2 linked regions of the Oreochromis niloticus genome follow. The protein of the gene in region 1 interacts with the protein of each later gene in a biochemical or structural test. Links are inferred from orthologs where the notes say so. Each region holds a gene or a part of one and is shown in the gene's direction. Other genes may lie near its edges.

What was found.
Region 2: the proteins of mylipa (region 1) and cnpy2 form a complex in vitro, tested with the Homo sapiens proteins (2 studies listed by BioGRID). The link is inferred for Oreochromis niloticus from reciprocal best matches to the Homo sapiens genes MYLIP and CNPY2.

What each region holds. Positions count from the first base shown.
Region 1 is NC_031985.2:20,357,816-20,365,354, forward strand, and holds the start of mylipa (E3 ubiquitin-protein ligase MYLIP-A), read left to right. Parts: upstream 1-4,366; 5' UTR 4,367-4,519; coding exon 4,520-4,606; intron 4,607-5,756; coding exon 5,757-5,947; intron 5,948-7,539. Other genes in the region: dtnbp1b (dystrobrevin binding protein 1b), read right to left, coding at 418-1,340, 4,141-4,204. UniProt on the Homo sapiens protein: E3 ubiquitin-protein ligase that mediates ubiquitination and subsequent proteasomal degradation of myosin regulatory light chain (MRLC), LDLR, VLDLR and LRP8. Activity depends on E2 enzymes of the UBE2D family.
Region 2 is NC_031970.2:24,734,215-24,741,946, forward strand, and holds cnpy2 (protein canopy homolog 2), read left to right. Parts: upstream 1-4,537; 5' UTR 4,538-4,693; coding exon 4,694-4,814; intron 4,815-4,918; coding exon 4,919-5,034; intron 5,035-5,243; coding exon 5,244-5,441; intron 5,442-5,547; coding exon 5,548-5,644; intron 5,645-5,752; coding exon 5,753-5,796; 3' UTR 5,797-7,122; downstream 7,123-7,732. Other genes in the region: uncharacterized protein LOC100690178, read left to right, coding at 1-192. UniProt on the Homo sapiens protein: Positive regulator of neurite outgrowth by stabilizing myosin regulatory light chain (MRLC). It prevents MIR-mediated MRLC ubiquitination and its subsequent proteasomal degradation.

The sequences.
Region 1 (7,539 bases):
TTTCTCACTACTCATAAAAACAAACTCCAGGTTGCAAAAAAAGGCTTTTATTCATAAACACATGATATATTGGATTAAATCTCCCTTTCCTCCCATGCATGGAACCAGCCATGTGTATAATATTTTCTCAGACACCCAGAAAGGCAAAAAATAAACACTGACACTAACTGTGCAGCGCTGCGTTTCTGAAAATAGCATTTCTAATTAGTTAGCCACAGTGACTGCATTTGAATCAGCACAGTTTATATCAGCAGGCGGCGGTTTACACAGTCTTCATGCAAAAACAATCTCACTGATTATTCACTGAAATCTGGGCCATTTCTAATCAGCAGTCACACTAACTAAGATTTGAATATAATTAACCTACATGGTGCATGGTATGAAGTCCACCACATCAAAGACAACCAAACCTCTAATTTAAGAGGTCAGTCTATTAGCTGTTAGGCTTCGAGAGAGCCACACTCCCTCTGCCAGTTCCTTAGTTCTCTCTGACAACTTCCATTCTGCCCGGTAGCGTAAATCATCCCTCTCTTCTCCTGAATCAACAAGCTCAATCCTCAGGAACATTTCTTTCTCCAACATCATCGAAGCCAGCACAGAGTCTGCAGCTTGTCTGTTTCTTGGTAATCTGGGAGAGGACCGAGACACCCCTCGACGAGTGGGAGGGCCACCTTTAACCCCTCTGCTTCTGACATCGTCTTCCTTTTGCTTCACCAAAGACACATCTCTGCCATCTGAGGCAGATGTACTAGAAGAACTCTCATTGGTTGATTCTGAGGTGAGAGATGACTGTGTGTCCTCCAATTGGTCAAGATCCACTTGGTAGGCTAATTTCTTATTACTTTGTCTGCTGATGGACAGACAAGGAGGCCACCGGAGGGAGAGACATTTTGTCACCGCCAGCCATAATTCTTGAGGCCTGAATAAACCTGACCTTGGCTGATCTGTGTCACAAAAACTGTTTCTTTCCTCCATTTCTGCATGTTCTCCTTCAGAATCCGACTCCACCACCTCTCTGACGGAAACTCTGTTCGAGTTCTTTGGTGACTGTTCCTCTTCTTCACCTTCATTTTTTGACGCTACCTCCTGATCCTCCCCAAAGCTGAAAGAACTGCTGAACCTCTGGCTCCTCTTCATTGCTCTTTCTGCCTCCACATCAGACTCCGACGATGAATCTCCCTCTGACGAGCGTCCACACGGTGACGACCGATCCTTTGAGTCTTTCGACCATGGCCGATGATTCTCTTCAGACTCAGAGGAGCTGATCGCCCTCTGGCCTCTCCTCATACTTTGGTAAACAATTCCTCTCCTCCAGCTGCCCAGTACTACTCTTCCTTTGGCTTAACAGCGACAGATTGACAGAAAAAGAAGCGAAGTAGTAACAGCTATCACAACAACAACAGCAGCCGCAGCAGCTCTGCTAGCATGGCACATTCTGACATAATATCTGCTTCAACAGGCACAGCTATGCCAGTGGAGCTGGGCAGTGATGACGTTGTGATGTCATGTGCCCACATGCACACATACACACACTCTTGCACAAATCCCCTGCATGCATGCTTCAGTCGAGTGAGATGTGACTTGCCTCAAAGGGAAGTGATGTCACATTGCATGATGTCATACCTAGCCTCGAACCAGGAGTCTACAAATGGTCTGTGTTTGTGCAAGAGCGCAGATGGTGGAAGGAAAAAAAAAAATAGATGCCCTACCCTTGAAATTGACCTAGATGTGCAACATGGTAGTCGTGATAATGATTTTCCTTTCTATGCTTTATTCTTTGTGCTACAGTTGCGATGACATGCGTCGAAAATAGTTTGTCTATTTTTGTCACAGGCTACCAAAATATACATTAACTAATTGGGTAAATAAAGCATAAAATACTTAAAGTGAAAAATAAAAGAATGAATAAAATCACTGAGTTGCTCCAGATGTTTTTGCGTTTGCCATAAATATTGGTTCATTCGTCTAATTGTGTTTGTGTGCATGTGTTTACTTTATTTTGGGGTGCTGTAGGACAAAGAGAGAATTTTTGAAAGCGTAAACCAATAACAGCAACAGCAGCTGTGCTTCTGCTGGAGCTCTGTGTGTTGTAGCAGTAGTAGAGTATGTGTTTGGCAGTCTGCTCAGTGAGTCCCAGACTAACAGCGAATGGTAGGTCACTGGCTATATGCTTGCTTTTCCATTTATGGTCCGGGTGGCTGCTCAGACGTCACGTCTCTCTGCTCATTCACTGCACACTTTCTTGCATCACCTCGGGGCAAAAGGACATTGCCTACTCCAAGCTGGCTGACATTCTCACACACAGAAAGACACACATACATGTTACATCAGATAAAATCTGTTGAGTCGACGTTTGAATATAGGCAGCGATGTGTCGTTGAAGGGAAGAGAAATTGATAATGCCTGAAATGAGAATAATAACATTTCTCATACTGATTTTATCTGATGTGATCAAAAATAAAAACCTAGTATTTCTAGTCTGGACTACTGTGATTCATTATTATTGGATCGCTCTAAAAGCTCCCAGAAAAGACTTCAGTTGATCCACAATCCTGCAGCTAGAGTACTGACAGGGATTAGAAAAAGAGCACATATTTCTTCCATATTGGCTTCTTCTGATAAATCCCTGTTAAATTTAAAATTCAATTTAATATCTTTCTCCCAAAATCGTGAATAATCAGGCCATGTCATATCTTAAAGACCTCTTAGTACCTATCCTAACAGAGCACTTTGTTGTCAGACTTGTGGATTACTTGTGTTTCCTAGGGTATTTAAAAGTAGAATGGGACCCAGAGCCTTCAGCTTTCAGGCCCCTCTTCTGTGGAACCAGCTCCCAGTTTGGATTTGGGAAAGAAACACACCCTCTACTTTTAAGATTAAACTGTTAAAAAACTTTATTTTTTGATAAAGTTTATAGTCAGGGCTGGATCAGGTGACCCATTAATCCTCTCTACTGCGTAAAGTCTAGGCTGAAGGGGTCTTCCCATGATGCACTAAGTGTTTCTTCTTCACTCACCTCTTTTCACTCTCTATGTGTTTACACACCTCTCTGCATTTAATCATTAGTTACTATTAATCTCTGACCCTCTTCCACAGCGTGTCTTTTGTCCCATCATCCTCTCCTCACTCCCTGTCGCAACAGATGGTTGCCATTCCCTGAGCCTGGCTCTGCCTGAGGTTTCTCCTCGTTAAAAGGGAGTTTTTCCTTCCCACTGTCGCATACCTGTTTACTCTGTTTGTGTTTTTGGAGCGCGAATAAAAATTTATGGTGCTACCCAGATTGGCAAAATCTATCCGGAACCCGAGTTTGGGTGAAATCACTTTCCTCGTGTCGCAAGGATTTTCATGGTTTAAATAAATGAAACCTGGATCCTCAGGTAAGATTTAAATGTGATAAATCGGAAGCTAGTACAGACAAAAACACGGCTGCCAGGAAATTACTTCATTTGAAGAAAAGTGTCAGTGCTTTTTGGCATTCAAAAAGTGATCCAAATAAAAGGGCCACGGAACACATTATACATCTTTAAATGTGCAGTATGTAAAGCTGAATCTTATTTTCACATCCCTTCCAAGTAAGTGCTTTAATACAATATCTGAATGATGAAGTGAGTGTTTTTAGGACTCAGCGAGGCAGTAATGCAGTGGCCAGGGAGTAGAAAAACATAGAGAGGCACACTGCATCTACTCTAAAATGTCCGCTGGCAGACAAACTCAGAGCTTGGCTGAATACTATGCCTCCATAGTTTAAGTGTGGCTGCAGCTTTCTGCAGTGTCTTATCTGGCATCACTACACACTGATGCTGAATAATATATCATGAAATAGCAAGATGTGAAGAAATGATGAGGTAGAGCAGGCTGAATTATTAAGTCTCTCTTAGCCGTTTTATCTTGACCTTTCCCCCACCTTGACACACTATAATCAAACAGTTTCACGTTCTCCAACACTCAAACGCAGCAGCGTTATGGAAAAGTTGAAGTTGCTAATATATATTAAAAAAAAATCACAAAAAGCTTTGGATGGAAAACAGCAAACCAGCGAAGCTGAATGCGCTCCAGTTATGGGAGTTATTTCTGGACTGCTTCCACATACATTATTCACACGAAACGAAGGGTTGACGGTACACAAGCCATTAAACTCACCCGGAGATCCGCACGAGCTCGCTGAAACATCACAGCCACGAGGACAAGGTGAGTTCAGGTGCATGCAACAGGCGAGCCAGGTGAGGGCGCAGTGGACTCCTCGCAGTTCAAGGCACGGGAGGCGAGCTCGAGCCCGAGCGGTGTGCGGATGATACGCCACTTCTCATTGGCTCAGAGTGTCAAATAGGCGGTGCTGTGCGCGGCGTTTCATTGATATACCCTACAGCTGGTGGCCGCGAACACCAAACGGAGTGAAAGGGCTAAGAAAGTGATGACGGCTTGATGTAGAGGGGTTGTTGTTTTTTAAGCGAAGGCTCGAGAGTTGGTTGATTGTTTTAAAGAGTGGCACACCAAAGATTTCCAGAAACAAACAGCCAAAATGCTCTGCCACGTTACTCGTCCGGATTCGGTGGTGATGGAAGTGGAAGTTGATGCGAAGGCGAACGGTGAAGATTGCCTCAACAAGGTAAAGACGGACAGCACGTTTTATTCTTCTTTGTGTCTTCATGTGAGAATAACACGTCGCCGTATGTGCGTCGGTGAGGCAGCACGGCTCGGGTTGTCAGAAAAATATTTTCTTATGTTTCTGTCAACTTCACCTCTAATGTGTCGCATTCATTTATGAGTCGACTAAATGTGGTGAATAAGACCGAAGAGCCAAGTTTCTGCACGATTAGAAGATTTTATTTGTTTTTATTTCTTTAATTAATTAATTCGCCACAGCTTCAGTGAGCTTCAGCTTTAAGCTACAACAAAACTGTCACCTGCTTTGTTGCTTGTAGCAAACAAGGACTGAGGAAACAATGTTCTGAGCGCCAAGTGCAGAAAAAAGGTCAACTTTTTCTTCTTTCGTGTTTTTCTTTTCTTTCTTTCTTTCTTTTTTAAATAATACAAACCCTCTAAAGTGTCACTTCTGTCAAAAAGCCACGGGGCTGAAACACGTAGAGAAAAGTTTTGTTAGGTTGCTGGGAAGCTGCCGACTGCCACTTCAGGCTCCTTCGCTTAGTCAGAGGCAGATGGCTTTGTGCAGGTTACTCCAGGTCATCCTGCCGCCTCTCAAGATGAAACTTAGCTTTTCACATCTCTACCCACCACCACCCCCAACTCAACATGGACACAGTAGTAACTGTTATTTCCTTTGATTGCCATTTCCCCTCCTCATTATGATGTTAATCTATTTAATATGCACAGAACGAGTTTTATCTCAGCCTCCTGGCTCCCTGTGCAGACTTTCAGCAGCAGTTATGTAATAAACCCATGGTTGCTGCCGCCGGAGGAGCGTGGGATTGCGGGCTTGATGAGCCCCTGTACCCCGGGAGGGGCTCCAAGTTCACTTCGTGAGCTTCAGAATATTGATGGGGGTTTGTGTGTCGGAGTATCTGCAGTAACAGCAGTACTGGTGAATTTCCTTGTAAAAATAATAATAAAAAAAAAGTCCAGTGGGACTTTACTCAGTTGGTTCTCGTCACTTTCCACATGACAAGAAAAGTTATTGATTGCCTCTTTAAAGGAGCTCTTCACCAGCTGTCGCTGTCCTGTGGTGAAAAGCTTCACGTCTCACTTCGTGTGTGTGTTTTTTGTGACACCCCCCCCCTGCTTGTTTCGTCTTTCTTCAGGTTTGCAGAAAGTTGGGCATAATCGAAGTAGACTACTTTGGGCTGCAGTTCACAGGCAGCAAAGGAGAAAACCTGTGGCTGAATCTGAGGAACCGCATCAGCCAGCAGATGGATAATTTGACACCCTGTCGGCTCAGGCTGCGGGTCAAGTTCTTCGTGGAGCCCCATCTGATTCTGCAGGAGCAGACGAGGTACTTTGAAAGCTCGCACGCTGTAAAGACACCGTGCGCAAGGAAATTTGCTCATAGGCCTTAGAACAGCTATAACTGTGAACTACTTCCTCTTATTGTTTTGAGTGTGTAAATGTGTTCGTCATCTCCTCTAAAACGGGTCAAAGAAATAACATCTTATTTTTTTTTTCATGTACATGACTTTAATGAGGCGCACGTGTTTGGGGAAACAAAACAAAGCCACCATTGGCGAGTTCCCAGAGCATAATCTGATCACTGTTTCCAACAAAGCGAAAATGCCCTATAGTAACCTCTTCCCCAAGCCCTTCCGGGGTTACTATAGGTCATTCTGGTGAAGCGCCAGGGAGGAAATATGATCCAGCAGCTCTGGTGCTGTGTGCTGCTCTGAGCCTACCCCCAGGGACCCTCTGTGTGACAGCCAGGACCTCTCGTCACTGCTCCCATTCAACTCTAAATATCTTTTTGTTTCGATTGTCCATGGCCGTTTTTTGCGTGAACAAAAGCCCTCCCGTTTTCTGTTTTTTCTGCAGATGCAGTTTGGGGGAAAAGCTTGTGTAAGGAGTGCTTTCCCTTGCGAGAATATGCCGTCAATTAGAAACACGGTTGCAGCTGAAGTTTTGGATAACTGTTGTTCACTTTCTGTGCTTTATTGGTCATTAGACAATGGCAAGCAAAGCTGCTGCTACAGTGAGTTGACATGTAGTTTTAACATGTGCCCTTCTCTGCCAAACTAGTTTAAAAAAACAAGTAACGATCCCAGGCATGTCTGAATGGGTAGTCCCCTGCCCACAGACTGTGAAGTTATAAATGGAAAGTGAATTTTCAGCCCTTGAAACGAGTCCCAAAAACTTGTTTTGAACACTAGTGTGATGGAGTCGATGTTATGTTCACCCTGGGCGACGTGATGAGTGTTTGATACCACGGATATGAATCAAGGAAGCACTTGAACTGCAGCATTCCACTAGAACTATTTATTAAGCTAAACTGTCCCTGTTGTTCCCTGGTTCGCCTACTGCTCCGACTCTCTCTTCCTTCTCCCTTCACCCTGCTCTATCCAATGTAAAAAGAGGGCAATTCTACGGTTTCTTTATTTGCTGCTGTTGGGTGATTAAACTGTGCCCACTCCCATTTCCTCTCTGTCTGGCTCTTCTCCCTCCACCTTCATATTCCACTCCACTGTAGCCCATATTTGGCAACCTTTTGAAGAGGAAAGTGAAAGGACAGTCAGGGGGGCTAAGGGCACGGAGGACACTTGGCTGCCTGCGCTCTGACCTCCAGTAGATTAGCAGGAGTTATCAGCAGATGGCTGGTGTTTGCTCAAGACTTTGGGGGGGGGGGGTGAAAAGAAGTGAGATAAAGATTTTAAATTGCAGGTAAGGTCAGGTGGGTCGCTGCTAATAAATACTCGCACATGTCACACTCCACCACGCTGTGAGGTTAGGTGTTTAATTTCGGCTCAGCCTTCATGCCAGCCGTCTGCTCAGATGTGATATAATATGAGGGGTGAGCGTGCAAACGCTGGCATCAGTTTTTAGAGATAAGGCCAAGCTGTTGAAGTTAAAGCAGCAGCATTTTGAGGACAATCACACGTG
Region 2 (7,732 bases), on another chromosome or scaffold:
CAGGAAGTGAACAATAACAGGCTGATCTCCTGTGCAAGAGCACATGTAGCGCATTCAATTCAAAGACTGAAACGTTTCTCAATTTTGGATCTCGTCCCACATCACTACAGAAAAAATATTAATAAGATACTGAAAGTATGTGTGTGTCTTACAAATTTACAAACTCCTGTTATCCATGAATTAGACCAGTGAAAGTGCAGAGGCAAAATTACATGGTGTCACTGTCGAAATACTTGTGGACCCGACAGTACAACTGTTGAATACGTTTATTTTTATTGTTTGTACCTTTTAAGTGTTCTGGAATGTTTTGTGTATATAGTCAGGAAGTTACATCATTAAAAAAACCAACAACTTAGTTGCATAGTTTCAAGTTGAGAATTTTCAGTTGTAATTGGTAAAATGTTTAATTGTACTCTAATTGGGGTTTTTTCATCAATGGTTTGTTATATTGCTCATTTCATTCCAGCCTCCTGATTACTGCTTACTTGTTTTGCCGATAATTTTCATTAAAAATAGGGACTACAAGATAAATGTGTTACTCTTTGTTTTCTGAACAGTTTTTGCCCAAAGCATTTTCTTGGTAAAATCAAAACTTAATTTTAAGAATTTATCTGAATATATTTACAAATTCATAGCTGCGATAGACTGTTGGGTAAAAGAACATTTCCAAAGTTTCAATGTTAACAGCCCAAGTTTGTTCTCTATCAACAGGCAAGATTACAAAGTCACATGGAGTCCAAACAATAAAGTGACAGCTGTTGGTCCCTGTGAGATGTAGGTTCCTCTGTAGTTGTGATGCTTTTTTAATACCAGGGAATCACTTGCCTCATCCAGTTGTAGGAAAAAGTCCTTCCTTTCTGCAGCCTGCAAGACAGTTTTGGTTCTGGCTGACCATGGGCATTTCACCTCAATGATGGAGTCATCAGAGACTGTCTCATCTGGAGAACTGCCAAGCAGGCCACTGTTGGATAAAAACAGTCCCCTCTCCTCAACAACTGCACCAGTACAGTCAGTGTACAGCTGCCTTTGGGGATGAGAATATCACTTAGTTATAAATGCATTCTTAGAAGCACAGACCCGTTTTTACTAACAACTTACTGTTAGGTTGTACTGGCCAAGAGTCTTAAATAAGGAAGGAGGGTATGAGCTCTGCTGGACTGTACCCAGGACCAAACCTAAGTTGCTGGCTATGATTCTCTTCTTGTGATATGCTGCCCTTTTATTAAGAAAAACAAATTAAGAGAGACGGTTCACTCAAACTTCTTGCTTAACACCTAACAGAATTAATTTCAAGGCACCTTTTTTAATTTTTTTTTTTTTATCACAATACATTCTTTGTTTGCCCAACTGTTGCTTCCTCAACCTGTTTCTTCTCTTCCGCAGTCACAGTCAGTTATGCCAGTACATAGCAAGCCTTGTCTTCTGCTTGGGCAAAACTGAGGTTCCTCAGCAATCCATCAAATGTCTTGGCTGGTAAAGTCTAGATTTAAAGCAAAAGGAAAAACAAATACAATGTGAAAAGGTTTTAATGGGACCAAGAATGTTTGAGCACAGAGTAGAAAAAGTAGAGTATAGAATATACAAAATACATATAAAATTAAAGTGGGGATAGTGAAGACAGTCTGATGTCTGTAGTTTACAAGAGTTCACATACACGTATAATTCATTCCATGTATTAAGGTAAATATCAAATTACCCGAGGCCCTTCTGGACTCAAAATCAACCTCATCCCAGTAAAACGCCCATGTTTTGATAGAGATGCCAGTGCCCATTCTTTGTCCTCCTGGGTGACAGGTCTTTTCATTCCAGCTGAAAAAATAAAACAAAAAATATTTCTTAGTAATCGAAATAAGTAGTAATCTAAACAAGTAATAATTTCAAGGTCAGATGCTATACCCAGGATTTATTTAGGACTATTCACTTCAAGACTGTTCACTTAAATGACATTTTTTGATGACGACTACGTGTGTGTCTCAATATAAAGCACAATGCTTTACATAAAATTAAGAAAACAATTAGAACAAAGAGAGAATTTTAAATAATGACTGACCTTGTGCAGTTGATGGTGTCATCTCAGACACTCTTGGCAGCAATTTCTTTTGCTTTCACACACGTTCCATGTCAGTGTGAGACACATTCTTCTCCACCTAAATCAACATTGGCACTTATCTTTGCCAATCAGACACTCACTGGAGCTGAATCTCACTGACTGACCCTCAACATGCACCCGTATTGAAAGCAAATTAATGCTTACCCCACACATTATAACAAACACCGGCAGTGCTGCTGTGTGTACCGGTACCACTGTAGCTAGCCAATGGGCAGGAAGATAATCTCAACTTGGCTAACATAACTAACTCTCCAAAATCTCCCTGTTTTGTAGATTTCCATCTTGGTTTACTTCCACTGTTATAGCAGTGCTGTATGCATGTGTGTTTTATGAACTACATCAGCCAGTACAGAACATATCATGTTTAATCATCAGCTAGCTAGCTTACCCCTAAGCCTTCTTTTTACTGCCTAATAATACCACCTGGGAGAATAGATACACTGACCACTTTATTAGAGTTGAAAGAATTAAGGCCCTTTTAACCCTAATTGGTGCCTTGCTAAAGAAGGAGGTAATTGTAAACAAAGTTACTGGTTCTGCCATCGTTGTTTATTCTAGAGATGGCACGATACCACTTTTTTATGTCCGATACCGATATCATAAATTTGGATATCTGCCGATACCGATATGAATCCGATATGGTGTATTTTATAATCAATGAAACACTTTTTTAAATATCTTGCTGCATTTTGTATAAGTTCATACTCAAGTTTAAAAAACAAACAAAAAAACACTAAAACTATTCTGTTATACCTGTATGTAAAAAATACACTGCACCCAAAATTTTTCATAGTTCAAGAATACTGATCAATCTAATAAACTTAAACCTACACCATCCTCCCTATTCTGGTATTTTAAAGAGTACTTAGCAGAAATATTAAACAACCTTACTAATAGGGTTGCCAACTCCCAGCAAAAAAAAAAAAAGGGAACCACCCCCTGCCCTCGGCCTCGTGATGTTTAATTGACATAATCAAATTTAATTTAATGCATGTGTAAAAAAAATGCACAGAAATCAATTATTTTTCTACAATAATTAAACAGAATTGCAGACTGCAGAGATGGTACCTTCCCAAAGGAAAAAGTACTATAGCTTACTACGGTATATATTACACTTAGTAGTTACTATTGACAGTAATGGACTTCTATACATTTTACATCAGATTAAAACTGGGTGTAAGATTCAGATAATTTTTTTATTAAGCTAGACTTTTTAAATGAGAATAAGAAAGAAAAGTATTTCTTTGTGCCCCCCTTTCCCTGTTAATGCCCTACCGCCCCCCTGGCAAAACTTTGCTAGACCCGCCCCTGCACAGTTACCAGCCGTCAGCTACGTAGAAAAAGATCCTGGTGTAGAAAGTAATATTAAATAAATTCTAACAACAGCTTATCAAGCTTAAACGCGCTGCTGTTGTTCAGCCGCTGGTTTCCTCTTTCTGGTGCAAAGTGGGCCATGATCAACTGATCATTGATCAGTTTCATGATTGAAGTAGCAACAGGAGAGGGAGGGAGAGAGAAGAGGCAGTCGCTCCATATATCGGTTGTTAAGCTTAACGCGGGAATGCTTCACAAACATTCAGAGATGAACTTACACACTTGCTTTACTTCTCTCTGGGATAACGTTCTTGGAGATGAAATGCCGGTTTGGTAGCGAGGTTCCAACTGCTCAACCAGACTGCCGAGAGGTCTCGCACGCCACAGCCGCTTTATCACGTGACGCATACTGTTCCGACGTGCTAAGGTTATGAGCTGAGTTACGCCATGTCGCAAGTTTTTGGAGGTGCTTTTGTGATATTTAATGGATCGGATTACATTTTTTATTTCTCTCTGATATCTGATCCAGTAATTTAGGTCAGTATCGGACTGATACCGATATGTAATATCGGATCGGTCCATCTCTAGTTTATTCAAGAGCATTTGGACCCGGAAATGTCAGCTACGTCACCCGTAACATCGAACTTAACAACCAGATTGTAACCAGTAAAAAATAGGAATTTTACTGGGTTTTAATTGTTATTGTTTATCTATTAATTAAATACTTTGGCATCATATGTATGGCATTGATGGAAGTCTTAACAGCAGGACACGCTGTAAAACTTATGAAAACACAATTAAATGTCAAAAATATAACACTTCCTTCAAAAACTGCAAAAAACCTTCAGTGGGCCGGATAGGAGTCTGCCGGGCCGATTTTGGGCCCCGGGCCTTATGTTTGACACTCTTGGTCCAACACAAATGACCCTGGCTGCAGAGTAGAGCGCCAGCTGGGATCTTCCCGCCCACGTGGGGGCGCTGCACGAGCTGTCTCCCGCTCCACGTACCCCCGGCAGCAGCCCGGTTGCTACGTCACCACATTTCACCGAATACGATGCAACAGCGTGGAAAAGCGTAAAGGTGTTCTCCTGGCGGCCCACAGACACAGTAAGTTGAATGAAAAGTGGAATAAAGTGCATCTCTGTGTCAGTATTAGTAACCCGGCTGCTGAGCTACAGAGGGTTTTTGTAGCAAACGGTGACTGAGAGCCTTCCGGCCGACTTACTTGAATGTTTTTTTTGCTTATTTGTTTTCCTGTGTGATGCTGAAATGTGCGCGTTTAGAGGCAAAATGAGGGAAGCTGCTCTCCTGCTCACACACTGCCTGCTTGCGTGTCTCCTCCTGAGCTCCAGCCAGGCGGCCAGACAAGGACAGGACCTCAGATGTGGAGGTGAGTAACCGGTTTGACGCGGAGCCTCGGCCGCACGCACAAAGAAAAGTCCTTATCTAATCGGTGTCTGACTTCTGCACCCACACTCCACCTCCCCTCCTCAGCCTGCAGGGCTCTGGTAGACGAGATGGAGTGGGCCATCTCCCAGATAGACCCCAAGAAAATGATCCAGACGGGATCTTTCAGGATCAATCCAGATGGGAGTCAGTCCATCAGAGAGGTGAGGCTGCAGTAGCAGAGCCACGTTGTAGTCTGGGTTCAGCCCCCACTGTAGACTACATCATAAGTACACAGTGTTGACCACAAAACAGGGCCAAACTTTTATAGAAAGCATCGCCTGCCTCTGAAGGCCATCATCTCATTTTAAAGATATCAGTTAGTTTCAGTGGGTTGGCAATAAAAATAACTTCTGAACTCTGACACCACCAGGTTCCTCTGGCACGCTCAGAAGGAAACCTCCTGGAGATGATGGAGAGCATATGCGAGAGGATGGGGGACTACGGCGAGCGCACGGATCCCTCCACAAACAGGAAGTCGTACGTCAGGATCAAGTCTCGGAGCGGCGAGGCCATGGACCTGTCAGACGCCTCGCTGGATTCAAGGGTTACAGCCAGCTTGAAGTTCGCAGTGAGTATAGTTTTTCCCACTTAGACCTCCAGCACAACCCAAGGAAATGCACAGAAAAACAGACAAAGGGTGTGGTTTAAGTGTGTATTTTTCCTTTGTTGTTCAGTGTGAAACAATAGTGGAACAGCACGAGGATGAAATCATCGAATTCTTCGCTCATGAAACGGACAACGTTAAAGACAAACTGTGCAGCAAAAGGACAGGTAGGTTGAGACCAAATGCATCAACCTGCAAACATTTCTTTCTGTTCTGATGTTCCCCATGCGCTCAGCTGTTAATTCACTGTGTTTTCTGTGCTGTGTGTCCCGCAGACCTCTGTGACCACGCTCTAAAAATGACCCACGATGAGCTTTGATGTCCTCTCGTCGTAGCGACCGTCTCTCATCAGCTCAAATGGAGACTTCTGGGTGCTGTAGTGTTTTCAGTTGCCACTTATCACCTGTTTGTGTCAGGGCAGTGGGACAAGCTGTCTAAAAATCCTTGTGATAAGAAATAAAAAACAAAAAGCATTACTCCTGTGATCATGGAGACTGTGAGGACCACTCTGCTACTCTTTTTTTTCTTTTTTGGGGTTAATATCTCATTTTATGTGATACTGTAAGTTATTAAAAAGGCTCTTATTGGTCTTCTCTGGATAAAAACTGTGAAGCTGTAAAAATGAATTTGGACTTTATGTGGAGATATGACTAAATTTGGCTGGGTGGTCCTCAAGCACTCATTCACGCATGATGGAAAAACTCTCCTGAAGTTGAATCAAAGTGAGGCTGAAAGAAGTTGGCCTGCTCTTAAATTAAACTGCTATATAATGATAAGTGTCACTTTCAAGTTCAAGCTTTAGAAGAGTTTTTCATGCTCATCAGTATTTATTTAACTGTCCATGATCACAGGATTAACCGATACCAGTTTGATTCTCCTTCTTTAATTCCTCCATGAGATACTCGTTCAGGTAAAACGAAAAGTTAAGGGCCATGATTTTAAAAGTACATCATGTAAAAGTAACTTCAGATACGGTTTCACTGTAGTTCGAGCGATAACGTGGCTTCATCACCAAACAAACATTTCCCAGGTAGTTTACCCCGTCCAACAGCAGCGTGCTCTCAGCAGTATGTTTTATTTCTCCTAAATTAATTTGGCTAAAAGACTCAGTGTGGTTAATCTGTTGGATTATTACAAGAAATGTCTTCAGGTGTTGAAGTACACAACATTTGCACAATTAGTATCCACATTGGCTTCCTGTGCATTAATTTACTGCTTAACCGCCAGTGACTTTAAAACACTCCTACTGCTAAATAAACTGCCTGCATCTTCTCAAGTTAAAACCTCTCACATGCTGCTGACAGAGCAGAACGATTATCCTCACATGCTCGTCCACACGAAACTTCTTTGCTCATTGTTTCACATTACCTCGGAGTTAAACACTACCGAAACCAGCTGTGATTTACTTGAGCTCGAGAATTGAGATGGTAGCAAAGTTTAGATTTCCTGGCTTTGTAATAAAACTGACCTCCTGCATAACCCCACTAGAGTGTGCTGTAGGCAGCAGTGTAAGTACACCAGTGCTGTACAGCCACAGTAGAAAGATCAGGAAGTATTTTTGGTGTCATTGTGTGAAAATGAATTTTTCGTTTTGTGATCATTCTCCTCAGATGTCTTTTTAATATAAAATTTGTACATTTTCTGACTCTGTCTTGTCTTCAGTGAATGGAAATTTTTTTTTTTTTTTTTTTTTACCACATCAGCACTACTCGATCCTTTCAACATCAGCTTTGTTTCAAGGATGATCTTATCCTTAATTTTCCCTTGAATTTTGATGATAATCATCTGTTTGACTGCATATAACCCACATACAGTTTGAGCTTAAATAGTGTTGAAATTTGGGAACACACAATAACCATGAAAGCAGTTCCTGAACTATTTGTCTTTTTTTTTTTTTTTAAACAGTTATTATTATTTAAAGTTTTAATACCTATAATTAAAACACACACAGACACACTAGATTCTAACTACATCAGAGATTTGTGTCTCCTCCCAGGATCAGCACTTGTTAGGCATGTATGTAAACCATTACACTAATATGTAAAAAGAGTATTTAGGGATTAGTGGTTAAAAACGGCTCCGGTTAGTAGCCTCGGAATATAAACCTGAATGAAGATCATGAAAGATTTTCTGACCTTGGAAAAAGGTAATCAGTCGATCCATTTAGTAGCTGTTTCAGAAATTTTATTCACATCACACCATCAAACTTTACAAGTTTATCTAGTTGCAGTAAAAATGCAAACGTTTGAATTTAT